Drosophila melanogaster: one gene and its partner. The protein of the gene in region 2 purifies or fractionates together with the protein of the main gene of each other region. This does not show direct contact. Each region holds a gene or a part of one and is shown on either strand. Other genes may lie near its edges.

The links. Proteins that work in one complex are often made in the same cells at the same time.
Region 1: the proteins of Hasp (region 2) and hig purify together in Drosophila melanogaster (affinity purification with western blotting; one study listed by BioGRID). This does not show direct contact.

Annotation. Positions count from the first base shown.
Region 1 is NT_033778.4:9,242,305-9,249,722, forward strand, and holds the start of hig (hikaru genki), read right to left. Parts: upstream 4,946-7,418; 5' UTR 4,591-4,945; coding exon 4,461-4,590; intron 2,107-4,460; exon of another isoform or gene 2,028-2,106; coding exon of another isoform or gene 1,867-2,027; intron 1,808-1,866; coding exon of another isoform or gene 1,493-1,807; intron 1,436-1,492; coding exon of another isoform or gene 1,218-1,435; intron 1,166-1,217; coding exon of another isoform or gene 895-1,165; intron 836-894; coding exon of another isoform or gene 735-835; intron 676-734; coding exon of another isoform or gene 594-675; intron 538-593; coding exon of another isoform or gene 337-537; intron 255-336; coding exon of another isoform or gene 56-254; exon of another isoform or gene 16-55; intron 1-15. Other genes in the region: Cyp4p3 (cytochrome P450 4p3), read left to right, coding at 56-254, 337-537, 594-675, 735-835, 895-1,165, 1,218-1,435, 1,493-1,807, 1,867-2,027.
Region 2 is NT_033779.5:19,511,887-19,520,578, forward strand, and holds the start of Hasp (Hig-anchoring scaffold protein), read right to left. Parts: upstream 5,319-8,692; 5' UTR 5,242-5,318; intron 4,973-5,241; 5' UTR 4,607-4,972; coding exon 4,555-4,606; intron 4,148-4,554; coding exon 3,848-4,147; intron 3,713-3,847; coding exon 3,533-3,712; intron 3,474-3,532; coding exon 3,282-3,473; intron 3,222-3,281; coding exon 3,045-3,221; intron 2,974-3,044; coding exon of another isoform or gene 2,930-2,973; exon of another isoform or gene 2,624-2,929; intron 2,465-2,623; coding exon 2,282-2,464; intron 2,220-2,281; coding exon 1,423-2,219; intron 1,366-1,422; coding exon 1,158-1,365; intron 1,098-1,157; coding exon 91-1,097; intron 19-90; coding exon 1-18.

The DNA of each region.
Region 1 (7,418 bases), on a different chromosome or scaffold from region 2:
AGTGATCTCAGCGATCAGTTTGGTAAGACAAATCTGCGGATGCGGTTCTCTAAAAATGTTAATTCTGTGGCTCGTGGGAGCTTTTATTGTTCTAATTCAGTGGATCTATAGGCTGAACAGGGACTACTGCATTCTCGGATTCTTTGCCAAGAGGATTCGAACCAAGAATGGACAGAATCCGGAGAGCATTGCTCCATTAGTGAAGGGCAGTACCATATTTGCCAACAGCTTCGATTTGTACGGCAAAGATCACTGTAAGTTATTTGGGGGGAGCTTTGCTGGCTTATCTATGCTAATGACATCATATCATGGCTGTTATTCTTATTATACAATCAGCTGGTGTTTTTGAACACTCGCGTGACTGTGCAAAAAAACTGGGCAAAAGCTACGCGGAATATGCAATGGGAACGGCCATCTACAATGTTATAGACGCAGATAGTGCGGAACGTGTGCTTAATGATCCAAATCTAATAAACAAGGGAACAATTTACGATTTTCTTCATCCATTTCTGAGAACTGGACTGTTGACATCCACGGGTGAGTTTGGATTAGCACATGCTTCATTTGTTTTACAACGCTATCACGCTTTTTAGGAAAAAAATGGCATGCACGACGCAAGATGCTTTCCCCAACATTCCATTTCAATATCTTAAATCAGTTTCAGGAAATTTTTATGTGAGTTTGGATTTCTAACGTAGTAACTATTCAAAAAAAAAAAAAATGAACTTTACTAGAACGGAGAGTCTGAAGTTCCTAGAGCAATTCAAAGGCAATGATGAGGCAATCATCTCGTTAAACGAAGTCATTCCCAGATTTACCCTGAATAGCATTTGTGGTGAGATGCAATACGTTTTAAAAGTTTTGTTAATTATAAAACCACAAACATATCTGCAGAGACGGCCATGGGTGTGAAGCTGGACGAGATGGCCGAGAAGGGGGATCGGTACCGGGAGAACTTCCGTCAGATCGAAGAATGCTTCATTCGTCGCATGAGCAACCCACTTCTATGGAGCGATACACTATTCAAGATGTTTGCCGAAAAGGATTACGCGTCTGCACTCGATGTGGTCCACGGATTTTCCAGCGAGATTATTGCCAAGAGGAGAGATCAGCTGAATGATGAGATAGATAGCAGAGGAAACACTCAGACCGCTGAAGATGAATTGTAAGGCATTTGACAGTCGTCCATAAGTCCATAACAATACCGATTACTTTAGATTTACCAGTAAAAAGCGCTTTGCCATGCTGGACACCCTTATTCTTGCCGAAAAGGATGGCCTCATCGATCACATTGGAATTTGTGAGGAGGTGGACACTTTGATGTTTGAGGGCTACGATACTACCTCAATTGGGCTCATGTTTGGACTAATGAACATGTCTTTATATCCCGAGGAGCAAGAAAAATGCTACCAAGAGATCCAAGCTAACATAGATGGTGAAATGAGCTGAAATTAGTAAACTTACGATTTCATAAGCATATAAAATCTTTCAGATGAGCTTAACATCTTGAACATCGGGCAGTTGAACAAATTGAAGAATCTGGAATACTTTATCAAGGAAACCATGCGCCTGTTTCCTTCTGTTCCCGCCATGGGTAGGGAAACTACGCGGGAAACTGAGCTGAGCAACGGTCTCATCTTGCCAAAGGGCTCCCAGATTTTTGTCCATGTCTTCGACATCCATCGCAATCCCGAGTACTGGGATTCTCCCGAAGAGTTTCGCCCGGAGAGATTTCTGCCCGAAAACTCGCAGAATCGTCACACCTACGCATATATTCCATTCAGTGCTGGTCAGAGGAATTGCATAGGTATGTAATATTGCTTACTCTCATGGAATGATTGGATAAACATATCATTTTCTTTGTAGGTCAAAAATTTGCCATGCAGGAGATGAAAACCCTAATGGTGGCCCTACTGAAGCAGTTCCAAATTCTACCAGAAATCGATCCGAAAACTATTGTTTTTCAAACTGGACTAACACTGCGGACCAAGAACCAGATTCACGTGAAGCTCGTGAGAAGAAAATGAGGCAGCTTTAACGGAATGGAATTGTTCACGGAACTCTGTTAGTCATAAAGTGCACAGTGAACAATAGTTTCATCCAAAGACTCCTTTCTTCTTTCTCTTGGTGCAAAAATGTCCTGTGACTAGCTTATGGCCGATAATCGTTGGCATCTCGACAGCTGCCGCCCTATAAATCATTCATGCCCTGGCGGGTAGAAGCACTTCTCTTCTTCTTTTCCAGCAGCTATTACAATTCCAACTCCCATTTCCCACACAGTGGGAGCTCCCTGTCATTTCCTACCCCTCCTATTATTTTTGAGGCAGCCCAGGAAAAGTCAAGTAATCTCTGTCCTTTAGCTCACATATATGGGAATGCAAATGCATAATGCGCTGGCGACTTTTTGTCATTTGGTTTTCCTCCTCCTGCCGAGGCTACATCCCTTTCCCAACGACTCCTTTTTGCTTTAACTGCGATTTTGACAGTTCGTTACTCAGTTATACCATTTGCATGCATAATGCAGACTCAGCTTTGTTCTAAGCACATAAAATGTGGCAAAAAGACATGGGTGACCATGGGCTCGCAAAATGCACTGTGTGTGGTGCACTGAAATAAGTTCCATCTATCTTTGGCTTCCTATTTATTTTATGAAATATTTATATCATGTTTCGAAGGGATATTTTTAGTTAGCTTCTCTTTTATATGTGGCTTACTACTACTCTACTATTGAAAATAATTATCGTAAACGCATATTTTTTAGTGTGCGCCCAACTCGTTCCAACATCATCATCCATCCTGGGGACCCAGGATTTATGGGACAGCACATGGAAATGGGTGAAAGGCAGCTCTGGTTTTAGCTGCTACTCGGCTACTGCATATTTCATTAGTGCTCTGTGCGCTAGTGCTTCGTCGCCATAAGTCAACATTAAATGGATTCCATTTGTGAGTCATGTAAATTAAATTTCCCTCGCTTTCACATGTGTCAAGCGAACGTTTGGATCTCAGAAAATCTAAGAATCGGCACCCCTCTCACCTGACTGACTGCCAAACTGCGCACCAAAAGGCGAAATAAGAAGTCGCAATATCCGCCACAAAAGAAAAAAAAAGAAGATAAGTGCGACGCACTTTTGCCTGACTGAAGGACGAAACCCCAAAAGCTCAGCAGCTCAACAGCTGGTCCTGTCGATTTGCCAGGGGAAATTAGAAGGCAACCGACTGGAGGGATGGCGATGGCGATGGCGATGCCGATGGAGGCAGAGTGAATTAATTACTTTATGCGCATCTGCGTGTCGCTGTCGGGCACTTTACACTTCCCCTGTATCCTTTTTCCCACTTCCCTTGTCCCTTGTACCCCACATCCACCCATTCCCCCGTCCAAAGTCTTCCTTCCCTTTCGCAAAACTCACACATGACGCTATTAATTTCTATTACCAGCCTCGGACGGCCTGCCTGCCATACTTCATTACGGACTTTCGTGCAATTGCCGCTTGCCCGAGCTACCTTTCAGCTCCCCTTCCCCTAGTGCACTGAGAGAAATTATTGGTGACTGCCAGCGGAATTAAGTTTCGTTGAGATTTAGGAGCAAAGGTCTAACAATCAAAAGTATGCATTAAGTTTGCGCCTTATTAATGATTTCACATGTTCAAAATGTTCAGTAATCATAATTTATAATGTATAAATATACATATGTAATTGAAAATATATTTGATCAAAAATAACTAAATTTATCATTAAATTCTTACCTAATAAATTATCATAATACGCTCGAAATAAAGGTTAAATAATTATTTTACAAGGTGTGAAATACATAATGATTTTAAATATTTATGTGAATGCTATACGAAAATTTATTTCGATTTGTCATACATGACAATCATGTTTTTCTTTATTCTTACTGAAAAATAATGTTTGTGATTGCGTTTGAAAACTAACTTTAAAGACTTCATGATGTCTTGCTTTGAATGATTCATAATAAAAGCCATTATCCTTGCACCTTATAAGCATGTCTTTTATAATTTAATATGAAAAGCAACCTAAAAATTTGTTGCCAAATATTTTCCGCAGTGCCCCGTTTTCGCGATGCCCTTGCTTGTTTGTTGACTCTGATTGGGATTAAGGTTGCCCATGGGCTCTCGGCTCGCTTTGATTGCCTTTGTGCCGCAGATGCCGTGAAATATTTCATTTGCTGCCAGTTATTTGCTCTTGCGCTCTGTAGCTTCCCCTCCCGGTTACGAATTCATTTCTACTCCGGATTTATATCCTTTTTGTTCGAGCGTGTGTGATAATCGCTGGGAGCTGGAAGCTGTGAACTGTCCGATTTCCATGGATGCGTGGAAGGCCATTTAATAAAGTGACCGAGTTCGAGGCGGCCCGTCATAATTTATTTACGCTTTTCGTCCGTCCAGTGAGTGAAGGTCAAACGGAGGAGCCCACGTGTGTGCGGGGCAATTAGGACTCACCTGGCTCGGATGTGGTGCTGGTCTCGACGGGCTCCGTGTTGGCATTGCTTTTGTCCAGGACCAGCAGCAAAACGGTCAAGGATATTAGGGCCCAAAGCGGCTTATGGCGCATTCGCTGCCTGCTCCACATGTCCAAGGATCAGATTGCGATTGCCAGAGTTTCGGCGTTGTTTTGTTTTCGTTTGTTAAGCAACCCGATGAGTCCTTTCAAATAGCAACGAATTTAACACCACTGCACTTCACGAGTTGACTTCTTAATGGGCCAAAAATAGAAATCCACTTGGCCAACTCACACACACACACTGGCGTACCGCCAGCAGTAACCCACACTCGCGCCAAACTGTATGCAACGTGTGCGCGTGTATGTGTATGTGTGTGTGCTCTTTGGCTTTAAAGTTTCACTTTTACTTAGAGTCCTTTGCGGGGTTTTATCCTTTTCGAAGCTGGGCACCTATCCTCTCGAGCGACGACAATCGAATGCCACGAGTGCGGCGAGCGTCTCGCTTTTATACCTCTCGTTGGATTCTGCGCAGCTTCGGCTCTGCTTCGTTCGGCTGCAATCGGCTGCATTCGGCACTCGACGAAGGATCGCACTCGACGAAGCTCGCCAAAGGATGTGTCACGTGCATTTTGCCGGCAAATCGTGTGTTTTTGTTTTGGTTTGGCCCATGTTTTGCTTAGTCGCTGTTGCCATTGCCGTTGCTGTTGCTGTTTTTCGTCATCTCCGATTTTCCTCTCTCGCTGCTTTCGCTTTTCGCTGTGCCCGTGTGTCTGCGTGCGTGCCCTTGTAACTCTCACGTAGCTCTCCTTTTTCCCACTCCCCCCCGAACCAACCAAGGAACACCGCCCACCCACGTGGCCAATTCCCAGCTACAAATGAAGTTTTCCGCTTGCTTGCCACGTTGATTCGGTTACTTTCCAGTTTAAAACTAATTTAATTATACTTCCTTAGTTCAGGCAGATACTTTTTACTGGTGCAGCAGTGAATCAATCGCATAAAATCAATTACTATTTCCTAATTCACTAGGGGAAATCGTTGCTGAAAATGTTATTGGCTTAAAACTGCGATTTATATAGCCCGAAAACATGAGCACATAAGGTACAATAACTAGACGACTATAATTATTTAATTGAAATATTGTATGTAGGAGATAAATATGAGAATTACATTTTTGGATACATTGGCAATAACTGCTAAAGTTTAAATTTTATGATTTTTACTTGGCGGTAAGCTTAGCAACTAAATGCAATTTTTTTGTAGCTAATTATATGTTTATAAATTCAAAAGTGTGCTTCCGTGTTTACTACAAATTCAAAGTGGGTACATTCTATTGTGGCTAAGGAGTGCAGTGGAGCCAAGTGCTCGGCAAGGGACTCACCTTTGCTGCTCCTCAGCTGCCGCTGCCCTGAGAAGTATGCTATCAATTGTGCTGACGTCGCCTGTCTGCTGGCCATTCCTTTTGGTCCTGGCCAATAATCAAGCAGCAGTTGCGGTGATTTTGAGGCCTCTGCTCTGCGACCGAAGCCAAATGGCATTTGGCATTTGGCAACCAGGTTGCGGATGCCACTTGGCCACTAATTACGCAAATGAATGCTCCGACAGGACGCCCCTTGTTGTCCTCGCAAGATAAATGTCACTCATTGGAGGTTCAGGTTAGTCCTGGTCCTAAAGCGTAACCGTAACAATACCGTCTGGGTCGCTCTTGTCTGTCGCATTGAAATTTTGCTGAAATGCGAAATACCAAATGCGAATGCGAATGCGAAACGCGCTCAACTCCAGTCGAGTGGAAAATGAATGTTTGTGTGCTGCATTCTCCCCCTCAGCTGGCAATCCAATTGTGCAGCGGCATTATCTTTTGTGTATAGTTTCTGGCATGCCGTCCTAGTGGCCCGAAACTTTGGAATGCAATCAGGCTGAAAATTTATACGTTTAGCATGTTTATCCTGCCTCCTGGCAACGAGCGGCTTTACAGCAAAATTCAATTTGCTGCCCTGCAACCGCAGGCTGAAATTACATCTCTGGTATTCCAACTCAATTCGATGCCGACGGGCCGAAGGCTAATAACCAATGATTTCCTGGGTGCCAATGAAGTGCGTGCACCTGACATGGTCGCAGCTTTTCTAGATTAAAATGCCTGCATTTAGCAGATTAAATTATTTAATCAAGACAATTACTTACTGGCTGTGCGATGGGCAGATGCAACAAATACATGGCTTACCGAATCCTCATTTCGGTAGAATGAATAATACAATATGCATAGTAAGTCACGCAAAAGGAATATTTACTTTGGCCAGCTTGGTTGGCAGCTGATTTAATAACTACACATCCAATTGTTTTAAATGAAATAATCTCCTCTTCGTTTTAATGAAATTATTGCTTTAAATAAATTCCTTGTTGTTTTGAACATATGTCAAAATAATATATTCTTTAAGTTGTAATTCAGGTTTTAGATATTCAAATATACAATAAATATTCTGAGATTTCTTAACATCGATCTCTTCGATAATATGTTATGCTCCTTATTTTGCTCAGTGCACCAAGCGGAAAACAATCGCAAGTAAATCAACTGGTTCTTAATGCCATTTGCCAGATAGCGAGCCCAGGGATAAACAAGGACTCGCACCCGATGGCCAAATTCCAGGATCTTGTCTTGTCATGCAATTATCGAGTTTTAATGAATTTTCGCGCGCAGTCAGAGGCGAAATCCATTAAAGGACTCGCGCAGACAGACACGGATGCGATGGCGGCAAGGAAGTGGAAGCGGAAGTGGCCAACTAATTACGCCAGGACACTTGGCACACAAAAAGCGGGCACCAGCAAATGCTCGAGTTAATTGCATTGCCAATGATGCGGCAAAAGCGTTTTGACGACCAAAGGGCCATTAAGTCATTAAGACGCTCAAAATGTCATTAAAGAGCGAAGCCAACACGACCACAATCTGCGCAAATCGCAGCTAC
Region 2 (8,692 bases):
ACGGAGCTGAGCTGAACCCTAGAAATTCGGAGGTGTTAGTGATGATTCAATATATAGAAGATGAATGGATTTATTTAATCAATATCCCACCTGTATATTGAACCCATCCTCGCACTCCAGGGTGATGAACTCGTTGGACTGGATCTCCTCGTAGGTGGAGAGCGGGGTCAATGAAGGTTTGTCGCTCAGCTGTTTGGTGTGGGGCTCCACCTTGTAGTACTGACCGTGCTCCACGGCGGGAACCAGGCACGGAGCGGATAGGCACTTGGGCGTCTCCGGCTTCCAAATGCCTCGGATGCATCGCGCCGTGGCGTTTTCACCCTTAATATTCAGCTTGAATCCGGCATTGCACTCCAGATGCAGCATGATGCCTACGGCATTTCTGCCTGGAACCTTGCCAGGACGAACCGTGGTCACGTTGGCGAAGGAATCCCACTCGAGTTCCTCGCAGGGTCCTCGCAATCGTTTGCCTCCACCTCCCTTTCCGGCCTCTCCTCCATCACTGATGTCCACCTCAGCATCCGGAATAGTTGCTCCCGACGGAGGAGGCGACTGTCCAATGCTGGAGCTCCTTCTGCGCCTCCGACGGACAATCTGTGATTTCAGTTGTTCAATATAGGATCGGGTGGCATTCAAGTGCAGGCTACGCGATGCTATAGGCGGGGATCCGTTGGATAGCAGCTCTTCCTTGGGAGTTCTGTTTACATGAACCTGGTGGTTTCGCGATGCCTGGTTAATGTTGGGCAGCGCAACCACTCCAGATCCGACTACTCCACCTGATCCAATGCCACCGCTCCCAAGGTAATTGTTTCCATTCTCGAATTCCCTAAAGTTGGACTTGCCCCGCATGGTGACCTGTCCTCCATCGTGGGTATTCAGATTGTTTCCCACTCTACCCACTGCATCTTGGGAGTGGAGCCTCTGGTAGATCCGGTCACGACCTAGCATTTTGCGGACATAGCGCTGATATCGCTCTTTGATCTTTTGGTAGTACTTGGAGTAGGCCCGGTCGACGTCGGAGGCATAGGGTTGTGAGTTCGGGTGGGGACTGGCGCTTCGCTTAACCCGATGAACCGATGGCTGGACAGGATCGGCTACTAAAAGGGAATATGATATTGTTAATATATTGCTTACAATCGAAAAATATTATTGCTTACTAGCTTTTATATAGTTTTGGTTATCGATCAGTTGCCTTTGAAGTTGTCGCTGTCGCTGCAGAAGGTACATGGATCTCAGTTGGCGGATCTGCAGAGAGCGACGTCTGCGGCGATTCCAACGCAGGCGAGGATGCTGGCCCAGGAGGCACTGTGGCAGGTCCAAGGGCCGCCACTTGCCACCCACACAGGTGGCGCCAGGCGGACCAACCTAGTGGAGAAGCGATGTTGTTGGGAATCAGCAATACTAACAGGATATTGAAGTTACCTCCAGGACATATCCCTTGTCGCAATCGTACATGATCTGCTTGTTGTTCACGATCTTCTTGACATAAGGTCTATAGTCATATAGGCCCATGTTGCCCACAAGCAGGACCTTTCCATTGGGTATGTAGCCGGGAAAGGAGCAGAAGACCTCGTCACATTTGGGCGTCTCTCCGGTCCAGTTGCCAAATGAACAAGTGAGCACATAGTCATGCGGATCTGTCACATCCTTGCCCTCCGGACTGACCAGCTTGAAGCCATCTTTGCACTTGAATCGCGCCTTCATGCCGTGCTCCGTCTTGGGAGCCATTACCATGCCGTGCTTGGGTGGACGCGGCATGCTCTTGCACCTGGCGGGCACACAGCGTGGAATGATGCTCCACGTGCCATTGTTGCACGTGGGCGGACTGAGCAGGGACACCGGGAACTCGTAGTTCTCATCGCACTTGACCTCCAGTGCCGTTCCGTGCTTAACCTTCTCCACACCACCAATGCTCTGCGTTTGAGTGGGCGACTGTGTGGTGGTCGTCGGCGGATGGACGATCGTCGTTCCGTTCTCATCCGTGATTATCTCGATGGGATACACATTGCCCTGCGAAATGGTGGGCACCACACAGGGCGCCAGACACTCGGGCAGTGCGTTCCGCCACCTTCCGTCGATCTGGCACACGCTGGAGCCCAGTCCATTGATCATCATCTCTGGTTGGCAGCGGAAAATAATGCTGGCACCTAGTCCGGTGCCCGCTTCGATGTTCTCGATCCATCCGTTGTACAGCACTCCAGGATGGCCGCAGTTGATCTCTATTGAAGGGAATGCAATGGAATACACAGTAGAACCATCCAGATGGGACTACACCACTTACCCTTGCAGGTGGGCAGAGTGCCGCTCCACTTTCGGTCCGCTCCGCAGCGACTGGAGCTCTCGCCCACAAGGGTGTAGCCGTAGCGGCACTCGTAGCTGACCACCGAGTTGTAGGCCAGGGTGGTGTAGGTGGCCTTGCCGTTCTTGGGGTTCTCCGGGGTGGGACACACCACCGAGGTGACCACTGTGCGGGAGGATGCGGGAGAATGGGGTTAGCAATGGGATTGGGATGGTGGGGGTATGCTAAAAGTTACCACAAATCTTTGAAGGCCGCCAAACCAAATAAAACAACTTCGAGGAAACGGTTTTCGAATTCGATTAATCAATTCTTGTATATATTTTTGCTTGCTCAAGATTTGCGGTAACTTTTATTTATTCATTCAACATTAACTGGCCAACAACAAGAACAACAACAACAAGGTAGTGCATATGTAAATTTGAACAATCTGTTTGTATGTATCGCTAGATCAATAACCAAATCGGAGATAGAGAGAGAATGTGGGTGGCTAGCAGGATCGGAGAACTCCGACTGGAGAACCTGAGCCCTGACCAAAGTGCGCTTAATATATAGTTTCGGATACGGATATGGGGATCTGTGCCATTTGCCAGCTCCAAGGAGTCGGAAACGAAACTCAAAGGGTCGCCTCGCCTAGGATAACGACGCTTGGGTGGTGGTTACATTTGCGCTATCCGCTTTAAAGGTGGTCAAAGAGGTCAAAGAGGTTCGGTTACAAGCTCTACCGGCGCCAGCCCGCAATACTCACAGACACAGGTGGGCAGCTCCTTGGGCGTCCACGATCCGTCCGACTGGCAGTAGCGCTCGTGCTTGCCCACCAGCTCGTATCCGGTTCCGCAGTTGTAGGTGATCTTGCATCCGTACGTGTAGCACTCGCCGGCATGCCATCCGTAGGCCGGATCCGGTGGCTGGCCACAGGATCGAGCTGGAATCATCAAATAGCTATGCATACAGAGGCTCCCCTTTTCAGTGTGACTGCACTCACGTTCGCATTGGATATCCGGGCCGTACCAGCTGGCCAGGTTATCAATAGCCAGGCACTTGGCCCGCGGGAATCCATTGGTCACGTAGCCGGTGTGACAGTGGTACTGAACCGTGGAGTCCAGGTCAAAGGTTTCCTGTTCCGGCAGCGCCGAGTTCCGTGCATGCTCTATCTGCGGCGGCTTCAGGCAGTAAACTGGAAGGATTGCAAGCACGTTTCGATATAATCTGTTTATTAACCTGTGGTAGACTTACTATTCTGCTTGCAAGCTGGCTCGGCTCCGGCCCAATTTCCGTCCGCCTGGCACAGACGACTCTGGAGACCCACAACGTGGTAGCCGTGCGGACAGGCATAGGAGGCGCGAGCTCCGAAGTGGCGTCCAGCCACTGTGACCTGACCCAAGCTGGGCTGGGCTAGTTCCGGGCACTCGCGATCTAAGGAAAGAAAGGGCATCGAGGGATTTGGAATTACTTTGCTTGTATAAAAAGAATTGATGGTTCAACATATCAACTTTCTGATTGAATTACACTTATTTTGTTTTAACTATTGCAATTTAAATCTATACCCACCTGGTTTAATGCAGGAATTGCCACAGACGCCGTCGCACAGGCACTTCTTCTTCTTGCTCTTGCAATCCTCGTCGGAGGAGCACTTCCTCAAGCACTTCTGGCCGAGCAGCGTGGCCTGCTCCTCGTCGCGTGGACACTCGGTGGAGGGTGAGTTGCGAGGATTCTTGTAGACGCGGCCATCGTCGTCAGACTCCAGAGAGTCGTCGTCCTCCTCCCAGTCGTCGTCGTCGTCATCCTGCTGCGGAATCTCCGAGGTCGTCTGGATGCTGGTGCTCATCGTGCTGGTCGGCACCGAAATCACTGCAAGAGAACAAGGAGGACAGCTGTCAGTCATCTGGGCTGGAAAACAAACCCCAATTCCCAGGCGAATCAACCCCTTAGCGCGGCTTCTGTTTTGGTTCCGGGATTCGCGTCTATTTTGCTCCGCCTCGCGTGCGGGCGAAAACATTGACCTATTTCCCCCGATGCCTGGTCCAGATGTCTGATGATGGCTCGGTCCCAGACTCTTTTGGAGCCTGCGCACTGGACGCCAGCTTATATAACGCAGCAGCATATACATTTTTCATCTTGCCCATTTGGAGGACTCCCGAAAATTGCAAATAATTATTCCGGCCACTGGTGAGCTCATCCGGACTACCACTAAAAGGGGCTCAAATATACTGATTGTACTTATCGGGTTTTCAGGTTTTTTGGGTTTTCTTATTGACCTTTGTAGACCAGAATGGTGGTCACTAGACACTGCAGCAGCAGGCGATTCATTTTGATTCCGTTGTAGTTGCGGGGTATCCGTGTCCTTTTTGATTTTTTTCCTTTCGCCGAACTGGCCTCGGATTTATAGCATTTTAGCTAACTTGCAAAATTCCTCTGCTGGCCAATTTAATTGGTAACTTTTTCGACAAGCTCGGTGGCCCGAAACTTCTCACTTCGAGCCAAGGAAACGAAATGCAGCCACGCCAGCTGCTTTCTCCCCTTTTTGGCTCTGGCCTTTTGACAGATCGGGCGAGAAGCGCCCAACTTGACAGCTTTCGGCGGTGGTTGGTCCCTTTAACGGTGAAGATAGGTTTCGGTGAAAATTCGAGCAAATGCGAAAGGTTCTTGCATCCTAGCTCGCTTGTTGGATCCAAACTTGAATATAAAGATATCATTAATTTCGACTGTTAGGAACTTTTTTTTGTTAGACGTCGAGGAATCGATATAAGATGTGTTGATTACAATTTAAGGTTCATTAGCTATCATCATCATATTAATACTTATGATAATGATAGATATAAGTATAAGTATTAATATAATAATGATAGCTAATGAAGTGATTTATATTACATAAACAGAGTTTAAATTAAACAATAATCAAGATTTAATCATAAACATATATTGGCAGTAATAATATGCTTTACACGATATGTTTCCTTAGTTTCTCTAAAATCCACCGTCTTCTTCAACTTTACATTTACAATCCCTTACTTAACATAGCGTCAGTTTTAACATTTTCAACTTGAAGTTGGCTGCGATAAGCACAGGTGATCATTGTTCAGCGCTTACGACTATGTTATATATTTATATGCTTACTTATACTTACTTAAATTTATATGCTTATTCTACTAGAATTTATATTAAATTTCTTATTTTTTTTCATCACTTAAAATCAACAACAAAAGAATATCTTTATTTCTATTCAGTACTTTCTTTAACTATTACTATTAATATATTACTTTAATTTAGTTTATAGTGAATACCAGTCAAATATAGCAACTTATATGTGACCAAGTCTTATGGACAAGGACATTGGTTTTTTGGGAACCATTGGACAGTTCCACTGTGCGGCGAAGCTTTTGCACATATACTTGCACACATACCAGTGTAGCAAGTATGTAAGTGTGTGAGTGCTTTCTCGCAGAGAGAGAAAATAAAGAAAACGTATCGTTATCGTTATCGCAAAACCAACACACATATATTACAAGCATATCTGGTTTTTTGATAACGATTGTCACATAAAGTTATTGCTCCTTAACCAAAATCTATGTATTAAGCTTTTCTTTACCATTATCATAGATATAGATACTATATAGATATGGAATAGACAATTTTCATATATTCGTATTTCAGTTCGTAAAAACCCGATTTCGATCTAGTTTCTCATCATTTTTTATAACTTCAAAGAACTCTAATTTGTCCCATCCACAATGGAAATGTATTTTTCTTTCTAAATGAAAATATTACTGAGAAGGGTATGTTTGGTGGAATCGACACAAATCAAGTTTCGTCATACCTATATATTGCTAAACAGAGGCTTGAGCATAATAAGGCTAATGATATTTTTATATTATAATAACCGATGAAGAAGTCCATTCCCTCAAAAATTCCTCCATACCGCACTCTTAACCTGCGGGCAAGCGACCAAATTGCACACGGAGGACAACTTCCCGAAGATATCTTGCAATGTCGAGGTTCACGCCAATGCCATTGCCAATCTAAAAAAAATCAAACGGTCAATTGCATGACAGGGTAATAGACTAATCTTATACAGACATACGTGATTTGCTGGAATGTCCGCAAGTGGAATCTGTATAAATTTAGATGTAAATGGAAATATATATATATGTATGTGTAAATGGAAATATATATATGTACATGAGAATCCAAATCCCCAACGAAGATGTCGTCGTTGTCCGGTGGCGGGGGTTGGGGTGTGACCAGGACCAGGACACGGCGGCAGTGGCAGTGGAGCTCTAATTGGCGGCGACCACAGGATGTTATGGGTGGCGCTGTCGTCGGTGTCGGTTTTGGTGTTTTGGGCACGGATTTAAAAACGCTGTCCGCCAACTCTTGAACCATCAGCTCATTACGTCTGCGTCAAACTGGTCGGCCTCTATATACAAAAGGCGTAAATTTGTTACAATTGAAATTGAATTGTCGATGTATTAACGTTACGCTTGATTTTTAAAAAATCTATTTGAAACATCGACAGCTATGCCATGTATCTATCGATAAGCAACGTAACGCTCGATTTTTACTTATTTTAGCGCTAATAAGATTCGGAAAAAGCTCCGAGAGCGCGGAGGTCGGAAAAGCGACCGATTTTCCTACGGAATCAGAAGCAGTGAAAATCCGGAGCGCCGAGCACAACGACGACGCACAGCGGCGGGACAAGGAAAAACTAGTCGAGGCGCGCACTCGTATCCGAAAATCCAAAAAAAAAAATATATAGGGGAGCAAGAGTCAGTGGAGCGAGCGGGGAAAGCGGGGGAAACGCACTCGAAAGATACACTTTTCCGACGAAATGTCTTCGCGGCGTGTGTGTAAGAAACATTTTGATTAGGCAATTAATTGAGCAAAGTGCAAGTGCAGTGGGTGGAAATGTTTTAGACTCCGTTCGGTGGGGTGCGGCGGGTTTTCCGGGGGGCGCATGTGAAAAGCGCGTAAAGAAAAGTAAGTGGCGCAAATTTGTGTATTAAAATAAATCAAATAACCAACTAAACGATGCATACACACCGAATCCGCATCGACTGGCCGCCAGTGCAAAATCGTATCTGCGAACTGAGATGCCAGCGAATCTGTGACAAATTAATTGATATTGAACCACTTCGCAGACCGCTGCGACAAAATGTCGAACTAGCCGATTCAAAAAACATATAGATTCTGTGTATATAGGGGAATTTATTTTTAGCGATTTTTTAAGCCCCCTCCCGCCCCGCATCGGAATTCAAATCGGTCGCGAAAGACCAATGCTCTGTGTATGGTGAATCGAACGATCGCAAACATAATCCGTATCGAATAAAGTAGATTCCAAACCAAGAGCATCCATCACCCATCATCCATCCCATCCGTCGATGGCATCGAAAACGGGGGGCTCGCGCGTCAACAATTTTCAAGCGTGTACACAAAAATCCAGCCAAGCGCATTGCCCGCAATAAATCCGAGACGAGACCCAGACCCAGACCCAGCGAACCCACCATATAGACCATCCACCGCCCAGCACCACCCACTTGGGCCAGTTCACTCGACCACTTGATTAACGCCAATGCCAATTCAACGCAGAAATTCTCTACAAAAGTTCTCGCAGAGAGCATGCGTTCGCCTCGCGAAAGCTTTTCTCTTTGCTCTCTGCTCTCAGCCCCTGCCCCTTTCTTTCCACCCCCGACTAGCCCCATCTCGCTTGCACAGGATGTGCTCCGTGTCCCCAGTCACTTTGTTTTTGTCATTGACCTGTTGTGGAAATCTATACGTGTATATACGACAGTTATCAACTAAACTATTCAAGCCCGAGTGCGGAAAATTATAAAGATTAAGTGATCTGCGGAACCACATAGGAAAAATCCTTGCAAGAGAACATCCTTCAAATGAAAACGAATATCCGTTAGTGCTTGTGTGTTTTTAAGAGAGTGAGAAATCCTGCAACAGCTGGGTGTTTTCTTAATTAATATTGTGCAAATATTGCACCCATTAGCAAGTTAATATCCCATATTTGGTTATTATTATATACATACATTATATACTTACTGAAACAGTTAAACAAACAGTTAAACAAATAAAGTTTATGCCACACAAGGATGACAGGATGAATCCTCGAGTGCTTTCTAATCGATATGGGTGTGAGATACCGTGAGCAGCTTTAAAGTTCCCAGATCCTTGGAAAGAACCACTTTTAGCTGGATAAATAAAACGGGTTTCAGTACCAAGAAAATCAAAAAATAGTTCAATGAAACGCATTCTATATCATTCTATATAAGGATATAACAGATGTTTAAATGTCTTTTGTTATATTTAATAACTAAACGGATTTTCATCTACTATCCATTGCAGGACATCAATCAGTCAATTGTAATTTAAAGAGTAGGGACTTGAACG